Neodiprion lecontei: one gene and its partner. The protein of the gene in region 1 purifies or fractionates together with the protein of each later gene. This does not show direct contact. Links are inferred from orthologs where the notes say so. Each region holds a gene or a part of one and is shown on either strand. Other genes may lie near its edges. The genes, in order: NAD-dependent protein deacetylase sirtuin-1 and protein ECT2.

What was found.
Region 2: the proteins of NAD-dependent protein deacetylase sirtuin-1 (region 1) and protein ECT2 purify together in Homo sapiens (affinity purification with mass spectrometry; 3 studies listed by BioGRID). This does not show direct contact. The link is inferred for Neodiprion lecontei from reciprocal best matches to the Homo sapiens genes SIRT1 and ECT2.

Annotation. Positions count from the first base shown.
Region 1 is NC_060260.1:5,661,278-5,666,554, forward strand, and holds the start of NAD-dependent protein deacetylase sirtuin-1, read left to right. Parts: upstream 1-2,222; coding exon 2,223-2,370; intron 2,371-4,121; coding exon 4,122-4,251; intron 4,252-4,332; coding exon 4,333-4,567; intron 4,568-4,699; coding exon 4,700-4,915; intron 4,916-5,041; coding exon 5,042-5,249; intron 5,250-5,277. Other genes in the region: 40S ribosomal protein S24, read right to left, coding at 899-1,222, 1,646-1,714, 2,088-2,090. UniProt on the Homo sapiens protein: NAD-dependent protein deacetylase that links transcriptional regulation directly to intracellular energetics and participates in the coordination of several separated cellular functions such as cell cycle, response to DNA damage, metabolism, apoptosis and autophagy.
Region 2 is NC_060264.1:21,477,796-21,482,953, forward strand, and holds the start of protein ECT2, read right to left. Parts: upstream 3,063-5,158; 5' UTR 2,756-3,062; coding exon 2,689-2,755; intron 1-2,688. UniProt on the Homo sapiens protein: Guanine nucleotide exchange factor (GEF) that catalyzes the exchange of GDP for GTP. Promotes guanine nucleotide exchange on the Rho family members of small GTPases, like RHOA, RHOC, RAC1 and CDC42.

The DNA of each region.
Region 1 (5,277 bases):
TGAGTAACATATTATTCCGACTGGTTCTCGAATTTGTAATGATGCATCAAAATTCATGGCCGAATAGATTCAAAATTTCGAAGCCACGATATGAAAAATGTCCCGATATCTTCAAAAATGCTCCATCGGAGTAGAAGCCAAGCTATTTTTTAACTCCGTCATAACCGAAGGGAAATTATTAAATTTAATCAAAGATTGAATTACATGAAGGCGACGTTTGCATGACTTACATTTTAGATGGTACAATCTGATGAACCAAGATATTTGTTTTTGAAAAAAATTATGTAAAAGAATGACCCATCACCAAAAAATAGATATTAAATTTAACAATGTCGTATTGTTTTAAATATAAATCGTCATTAAAAAATTCACACTTGATTTATGGATGAGATAGTCCCTTATATGTAAATAATATTGAAAAAAAAAAAAAAACAAATTGAAATCCTCAAATTAAGTCGAAAAGCAAGAAATTTATTTACAATCAGGATCAATTTATAATCAGAACAATACGGTACATACTATAGTTGAAACTTTGACAAAGCACCTGTACCAGATATCTATTTAAATGTCATGCCTTTTGCTACCTAATAGTACGTACTTTATATCATAGTATAGCTTGTACAAAAGCAAAGTTCTCAGTGTCAGTTTTTCACACTTTAAACTCACAAATGTTTAAATGTAACTAATGTAATTGCTGGCTGAAATTCTCAAAAACCCTTGCAAGAAATACTTTTCAACTGTTTCAAAGAATCTTATTTGTTGTACAATGCCATACTAAAGAGAATAACAAACAATACTAAATGATCAAAATCGATAACTAAAATTTTTCTTAGTACAGTGTACAAAAACTACGAATTGATAATAGAGTACTTATAGGAGTTAGAAGTAATCAATTTACCTTCTTGGCTGCAGCTCCAACCTTGCTCTTCTTGGTACCTCGTACCTTCTTCATTCTGTTCTTGCGTTCCTTGCGCTGCTTTCTCGTTTGCTTATGCTTTTCATAAAGACCATGCCTGGCCAACCTGTGTTTAGGCTCAAACTTTTTGGCAAAGTCCAAAGTATCGTAGATAAGACCAAAACCTGTGGTTTTTCCACCTCCAAAATTAGTTTGGAATCCAAAAACAAAGACTACATCTGGGGTCACTTTGTACATCTTGGCCAGTTTCTCACGGATCTCTGTTTTGCGTACCGACGGTTGTCCGGGATGCAACACATCCACGACCTGATAGAAAAATACAGAAGCATGCAAACAACTACATGAATAAATGACAACAGTTATTTATATTACGATACATTCGATGATCTCCTGACGAATAAAATTTCCACTTCATTGCGAGAAACTTTCAATACTTTTGCAATTTTCTTTGAATTACATTATAGTGTCTAAGAGGTAAAAACAAAGCAATTGGCGGTATGGTGACAGGTTATGATGGCATCCAAAAACGTGAAATCGTATCTATTTATGATATGTACTCTATTCATTGATGAATTTGTCCCTCATTTTATATATTCCTATCAAGTCATGTTGAAGGAACAATTGATCAATGCAATTACTTGCTACTTGAATTTATTAGAAGAACGGATTCAAGAGTGAAAAGCTGCATTAGAAGAACAAATCGTTCGGTAAAAAGCTCAAAAACCTTACCATTTGTTTCCGGCATAATAGCCGATTGGTCATAAACTTTCGGGTCCTGATCGTAGCAGTGCCTTCAGTCTGAAATAAAGAATCAACACACATATCACTTTGAGGTTAGGTCGGTCATTACGGAACACTGAAGCTAATGAGTTTCGTTCAAGGTGAAAATTGGTAAGAACATCATGTTCTCGAGTTTTGGCCCGATCTGAGTATAGCGTAGCGTGGTCAATAACATCGTAGAAATGTGTTACAAAAGCGTTAGCCTCCTCCATGCTGACTTTTCGGTTAGTTGAAGACTTATAAAAAAAAATAATCCATGACCCACTGGGACGGAATACAGGATATATATTTCGGAGAACTATTAGTTCAGACTCATTTAGGGCATTCGAGTCAAACAATTTTCACTTCTTATGAAAGATTCCACTCAATTCGACGGATGAAAAATACGTACCATCTTGGCAGTTTGTCGTACGACACGGAAAAGATTTGACCGGAAAAGAGCAGCGCCAGGCACGGCCACGACAGTCTTGCCATCTGCTTCCTATACCGGCTACGCAGCGAACTACGGATTGCATAGCTGTTGAAAATGGCGTCTCATTCGGAGCTGCTAGAATATTCGTCTCCAGCTAAACGTCGGAAGATTGACTGTAACGGTCACGGAACTTCTCAGGGGTCGGAACGCGATTTCGGTGATTGCAAAGCGTCGCACGAGACGGTCCACAACGATCTGGAAGGTATTTTTGAGACAATATGCTAAATTAATAGTGAAAATTTTTCTATATTAAAGATGGCGGCCCGACAGACGGCCGCCCATTTTCATCGATGCCGTTTGTTCTTGTCCGTCGTAGGGGGCGGCCCGCCATGACAGTTCGTCGAGTGCGGCGAAATTTTTATTTTTCATCGTTTGCCTATTTTGAAAAATAACGTCGCTCTTATCCCCGCATAAATTTTGACCATATTATATCCTCATCGCAACGAATCGGATCTCGGTCAATATTTATTTATAATTTTTCGCTAAATAATATTTACATTCGATTCTCGTTCTTCCGCGCGAACTGGGGTCACTGACAGAGAGATCTCGCTCGGTACGAAGTAGTCTAGTGGCGTTCACAGATGGCACAAGTTCCACAAACGCAAAAGATAATACGAACTTGACGTTTACCAGAGCCCGCGAAATTATCTGTCAAATATGCAACAGCACATCGGTTGTTACTTGTTTTTATTATTATTATATTACTTGATGCACACATATATATATACATATTTTTTTTTATCATTCATTATATTTCTCTACATTTTCATTTCATTCTACCAGGTAGAGAAATAAAAAAAAATTACGAAGTTTACTTCATCAGATGGGCCTCCGCACACGATTTTATGAAAACTGTTCATTAGGTGTAAATAATGCATGGAAGTATATTTTTACGTTCTTATTGTTTTTTTTTCAAGATTCCTTTTCTTAGAATTGGTATAATTACTCGTAATAAAGCACAACATAATGTCTTATATGATGGATGTTCTATGGAAAATATGTAAATTGAGTAATGATGTAATAATCATATGTTAAAATTAAATTGTATATAAACAACTTCATTGATTAATAAGCGAACCATTTAGTTTATAATCTACTGTGTCATAGGTATCCAAAAGGAAGATTAAGTTAGGCAAATTGTAAGATTTGAGAATTATAGCTCTTATAATATAGTCTACATTTCAATGAATTTCGTAAAAAACCAAGAAATATATTTAAATTTACTAAAACTATGCAAGTTTTTTTTCAATACTTTAGAAAAAATAAATGTTGCACTCTTATTTTCAAAGGACGATTTGAAAATTGATATGTCTGCCATTTCTTTTTAGCTCTGCATGTACCTCTGTAACATTTGTATGAAATTATCGATCAACATCAAATATGTGTAGAAAATGTGAATTGTAAGCCGTCCGAAAATTTCTCATTCTCAGTTAATGTGGGACAATTTCCTTGCGAAACTACTGATTCCTAGTATGTGAATTATTGTTTGATTGTGATTATGAGAGAAGCAATTATCATTCCTACCACTAATAATGGTATTCTTTTGATATTTCTTTTTGCAATACAAAATGTACCTCAAGTGTAAGGTATTTTCATGTAGCGGAGTATATTTTTTTGGTTTTTTTTTGGCATGATCACCAATTAGTGAAGCTCAGGGAGATATTGATCCGTTTGGAGAGTCACTGATTTTTATATTTCATCAATGGAACGAATTGAATGCATAAATAAACTGATCCTAATATGGATGAATTAGCTGATCATGAAATGTAAGTATGAAAAATAACTTTCATGCCGAAATTGAGTATTATCAACAGAATTGTATTAATGTTGGAAATGTTTAAAGATTATTTTCACCAACTCACTTTCTTATGTAGCACCTGAATAAAACATACTTTCAATTTCGTTTAGTTATCATAAGCTCAGAGAGAATAAGATAATTTCTTTTGGTTCCAGAAACTTTGGGTGGCGACAGTGGATTTACAGAACTCGGCGACGGAACTAAATCTGCACCAACTACACCAGAAACCAATCTTGTACCAACACCAGCTCGCACAGATTCCACAAGTGAAGATACCAGTTATCCGTAAGATCAAATTGTCATTAAATTCTCTTGTAATGACATACCTAGTTATATTATAAAGGCTGATTCATTTCGCTTCTTTAGACCAGACACAGCAAATGAAAAGGACGACGTATCGTCGACCGTATCAAACTTGTCCGAATTATCGGGGCTTTCCGAGCTCTCCGGAGAGGCGGAAGACGGACCACAGTGGAGACCCGTTTCTTCTTGGGTTCAGAAACAAATGCTGACAGGAGCTGATCCTAGGGATCTCCTGCATCATCTTCTCATGGATTCCACACAGATACCTGAAGAGGTTGATGACCTCACTCTGTGGAAGGTAAGTATTTATTGATGTTTCTTAAAACAAGACTTGGTCGGTAATAGACAGTGCTGTAAAAACAATCAAACAAAAACGAAAAGAAAGTGGATGTGTTAATTCAAAAAATTTGTTTCAACCTTGTTGTTTCAGATTATTTTGAACATGATGTCAGAACCACCTAGAAGACAAAAGCTTAGGCATATTAATACACTCAATGATGTAGTTAGGCTGATAAAATCAAGCCGAAAGATAATCGTACTGACTGGAGCAGGTGTAAGCGTGAGCTGTGGCATTCCCGACTTCAGAAGTAGAGATGGCGTTTACTCTAGGCTAGCACAAGATTTTCCTAATTTACCCGATCCACAAGTGAGTCTACCCGAATAAAATGCCGACTCTGAACTGTATTATTTTTATCCATTAATATTAATTCAATGCGAAATACAATTGAGTGTCAATAATTCGAAGATTCTAACGAATTCATTTCATTTTTAGGCAATGTTCGATATAAATTACTTTGCACAGGATCCACGACCGTTTTTCAAATTCGCTCGTGAAATTTATCCTGGCCAATTTAAGCCTAGCCCCTGCCATAGGTTTATCAAGATGTTGGACAAACACAAGAAGTTGCTTAGAAACTACTCGCAAAACATAGATACCCTCGAGCAGGTAGCAGGAATTGAGAATGTGATAGAATGTCATGGTGAGTAACGATAATTATTTTTTACAGC
Region 2 (5,158 bases), on another chromosome or scaffold:
TAATAATAACAATAATAATCATGAATAATACTTAAAAATACATATCCTCACCCTGCTATATAACAATATAACGAAATAACATTCTGGTAATCGAAAATAACTATAGCGCCCGCTTCCAAATCTGCGCGGATTTACCGGTCTTTTTCGTTGTCTGCCACGGTGTTCGGGTCAAGATATTTGTCTGCCCTTTCGTATATAAAATTTGGATGACTTCCTGTAAAAGTTTATTTTTGTTCCAACCCTTATAGTATGACGTAAGTTAGATACATTTTCGCGTGTCTTTATTGTTGTCTGCCGCCATTTTTCCAGCGACCGAGGTGTCTGCCATTTTTACTATTCAACTCAAAATATCATTCTCTGCTACCACACAAAAAATTAGCGCTTATGAAATGACGTTTTTCAATTGATTTTTTTAACCCTTTGCACCCCTCCCACCGCGTTCTCCAGTACTGGAGGCCAGGCAGACTTCCGAATCAATTATTAGCTATGTTAAGAGAGTATGACAAGATGGAAAATTTTGTTTATGAAATGACGTAACTAAAAAGTTCACTAGCTCTTAGACTATTACCATCACGTCGCACAACGAGAGAGATGAGCATGAATATATAATATCTACGAGACGTTAACTTAACTAATGTTGTTTGAAACGCACCAGCTTCCGGGGCTCGCAGCAATTTGATACATATTTTTAAAATGATAATGTAAATGACAATAAAAATGACCACTAAATGCACAAATACAGAAAGAACATTTTTCTTGTCCGTTTTAGATTTTGAAATAAGGAGAAGTGGAAAATTATTTTTTCTGAAAACTGATGTAAAATGTTCGCTAATAAATAATAACGATAATAATAATAATAATTAAACTAGAACAGCACAATAAATGAGGAAAACGTACGTTATATTAACGACTGTTATCAATGTCTAGGAAATAGATACATAAATATACAAATAATTTTGTTTGATTAAAAATAATAAAACGATATATCAAGGTTCCGTCAATCCGTCCATTAAAATTCTTGTTTATGCAGAAACGACACAAAGGAGAGAGACAGCAGCGAGTGAACGAGAGGGAAGAAAAATAAGAAAATTATATTTACAGCAGACGTTAAATGCACAGTAAAACTTACGAATTTAGTTTCGGCCCCGACAATGGAATATTTAAATGTATACAGTTAACAGCAATAACAAAATTTCATTGCTCAATTTATGCTGAGTCTTGGGCAAAAAAAAATTGTAATCCCATGGATAAATAATTGATCAAATTTAGCATTTGATTGAGCAATCATTAAATAAGTACCATTACTAAATAAATGAGTCTAAGGCTTTCAATCATATTTCCAGACTAGTTGGAAATTTTCAGCTCCCAGGTCCGTAATGATTCGGTTGAAATTAGAGTGGATGGGTTGGGATGGTACTTAATAACTTTATCTTATCATCAGCACGATCAAAGCTCGCAAGTCTGTCGATCTCGCTCTCACTGCCGTTAAAAAAACATGACATTGTAATTTATTTATCATCATTTTTGTCACAGGATGTCGGGTTAAATTAATGCATAAAATCCTGAAATTAATTTTTCTGGCCTACTAAGGGCTCAATTCTTTAGAATATGTTTTTCATTAATTAAACTAAATCGATTCTAACTTTAAAGGTCAGAATATGAGATTATAGGATATTTCCAAGACCCACTAATGCTGATGACTATTATTTTTTCTCAATTCTCCTGTAAACTTCGACGCGATGGCTTTCATCTCTTAACGACTAATTCACTGCAAGAAAGAAGTTGAATTTAATGAATGTGTTTGAGGGTCATTTTGAAAATCTGTAATGTCAATAATCTTTTTTGGTAAAGTAGGAATCCAGCGTCATGTTACGAACAGGCAACAGCTCTGTCTTTACGAACTACGTCATCGTTCTTCTGGATGGTTCAGAAAACATGTTGGTCTAAAGTTGGCTGAGATTATGTGAAATCTAGTCTGAGCCTATAAATGTGATAATGTGTTTTCTGGCATTAATATGACATTAGTGCCAAAACATCATTTTACTCTTTCTTGGGTACATTGGACATGTTTACATTGCACAGATTTGATAGAGTCTAATGTGAGATGAACCAATCACATGAATAGTTTCAAGAGCATTATCCAAAATTCGTTTCATTGATTAGTTGATCCCAAACATGGCGATGCAGACATGGCCGCTATCGCCCAAAAATGCATAGAATAAAAAACTCATTCGGTTGGTAAAGGACAGAAGCATCGCTCAAAAACAAGAGAATCAAAGCCTCAAACACGTATTAACATGTTTACAGATAACTCTTGGTAAAGGAAGGATGGGAAAGATACATTTGTGATTTTTTCAGAAACATGTCACTCATAGCCATTGCTGAGCTTGTATGAAATCTATTTTGAGCATATGTAAAGGTGATGTTTTTTTCTGGCGTTAATAGAAGATGAAAATACTACCAAGTTATCATTTCACTTTTTATTTTCAATACGTCTACTAAAATCTAGGACATTCCCCGAGTTCCGAAGAACATGGCCCAAAATGCAGAGTAAAGAAAATGACTCGGTCGGTAAGGATGGGCACAAGTATCTGCTGAATTTTTCCCTAGTTTACAGGAAAGTTATGGAGAAGGGACGAAGGGGGAGACACGCGTGTGTGTCTTCAACAAAGTGTGCAAGTAACTTACGTTCGGTGGCGGCCGCCTCTTCACTATTTATATCACTGGTACTGCTGTGCACGCTTTGCTCTTCCATTTTGGCAGTAGTAATCGCGCGTCGAGGTGGCGGGGTCGTCAACGTGTAGAGAGAGAACAGCACAACACAACGTCAGGTACGACGGCGTTTATTTCGCAGTCGTTTTTACGGCTGCCCGAAAATAAGAAGTCCGTCGCCTGTTTCTTCGCGCCTTCTGTTTCTCCCTCTTTCTTCCTCCTCTTTTTATATTGTTTATTCTCTTCTTTTTATTCCTGATCGATTTCAATTTTATTCAAATTTCCCCCTCTCTTCGTAGTTCACCCGTTTTTACCGCCGTTACAGCCTAATTTCCGTTAATTCCAGTTCTCGCCGTAATCGTTTCAACGACGAACCTTTGCGTCAGGTGCGTCCTCCCCTCCTGCCGCTATTCAATTGTTGAGGTGCATGCCTCGTTCCATTTGTCAGAGGCGGGAAAGAGGCGGCAGGGAGAAGAGGAAGAAGATATATAAAAAGAAAAAGTAGGAAGGAAGAGAATATTTTTACTATTTATGATTTACTAGCCGATTGTCTGTTCAATGTCTTTATTGGATATATTTATTATTCACTCGGCTGGTTTGTAGCTGTTGGTTTCTATTTTTTTTTCGTTTTTGTCTAGCAGTTTATTAGTTGATTATCATTAGCAATCGCCACCGCGCGTCGACAAATCGCTCCTCCCGATGATCGTCGTCATCGTCGAGACGACGGAACAGCTGAAACAAAAAAGGCGTCAACACGTTGCAGGTCGTCGCAAATTCGCGGGATTCAACGCATGTACAGTTGCCCCAAAAACATGGCAAACCCCGTTGATATTTGATGGAAAACCCGTTCAGAAAGATTAAAACATTGACAACGGTCATAAAACATTCAATATGAGATTGAGTTTTATCACTTCGAAGATTCAAAACTGCAAAAGATTCAAATTTGTGAACGATCTGAAAAAATTTGAATAATCGGAATTCCAAATCTTTGAATTTTTCAGAATAATCGGAACTTTAGAATGCTTTTGATAGGAGAGATGTTCTGGGGTAATTCCGTCTGCTACCCTAGGCAAATTCTTCACAATTAGTTGTAGGAATAATTCAAAATGCTATCCTTTATAATGCGAATTATTCCAAATTTTGATCAATCAATTCGGCCTGATAATTTCATGTTTATGTGTCATGTATATATATTTAATGATAATTGTCTACAAGCGCATATCTTGTAAACTTTGGGCCGCCGCTTGGTCAGTATATTGGCCAAGCTATAGTTAAATAATCTAAATGCAGCTTATTTGAATATACATGAACCCTAGAGCACATGTATCTTTTTTTCTACCCTCTAACGCGTGAGCAGGTTCACTATCAACCCCACGCGTTTCTCGATTGTAAGATCGTTCTAAAAGCAATAATAGGACTCGTAAGTGCACAAATCTTTTCGTTTTTTAATAAGGAAATGGATGGTGAAGAGCAAATCCGATTTTGTTGAAGTTTAGTTGGTGAAGAATTCAATCAACTACCAAACGGTACTGAAAAAAAAAACAGCTGGAGTGGTTAACAGGACCGTATATACAATCTAGGATTAAAATCAGCGGTGGTCTAAAGGTTCACATCTACAAACAGTTTGAAAAATGCATATCAAAAAAATGTCTAAGGAAACAAAATGATACCGGATATGACTATTGATAGATCGACAGCAATTAATATGTGACTAGTAGCAACACCAAAGAAACCTTTCATGTCAAATTGTACAGTGTTAAGGGGGTGCCCTGGTCGATTTTGACGTCGACGTATATATCTCTGAATATCAAAGTCGAAGTAGCTCAACCCCAAAAAAAAACTTTACAGACCCATTCTAAACAAAATCCTGAACAAAACTACTCCAGTATTTTTTCATTTGATAGAAAAATAAAGAAATAGCATGAATTCCATGAAATTACTACTGCGATTCCATCAGGGCATCATCTTAACCCTTACACTGCATACCTCTTGCGTATAACATTGTCACACCAGGCTCGCTGGAGACCCCGCGTAAAAAATAACTGTTCAGAAACAAAGATATTGATTCAAATAGCTCCAAAAAATTCTGGGATACTTTTTAACTATTATATTTCAAGGAAAATTAGCTATTTCTAGCAAAATGAAATTTTGTAATATGGAGAAAAATAACTCATTGAACATGTGTAAACCAAGGGTGTTACAGAACATTGAACATGCTGTCATTATGACCCCAGTGCGTAGCGTAAGGGTTGAGCAATTAACTTTGGTGGCAATTCGTATGAATGTCATCAGCTAGCTTCAGCGTCATAACGGCAATTGGCAATTATATGAGATGTTTTCCACACAACTTTCAGACATTACAATAATTGAGAACCGATAACTGTGAAAATAGAAAACCACATCCATGCTTTAATTTTTGATTGCAATATCAACTAAGATGAATCGA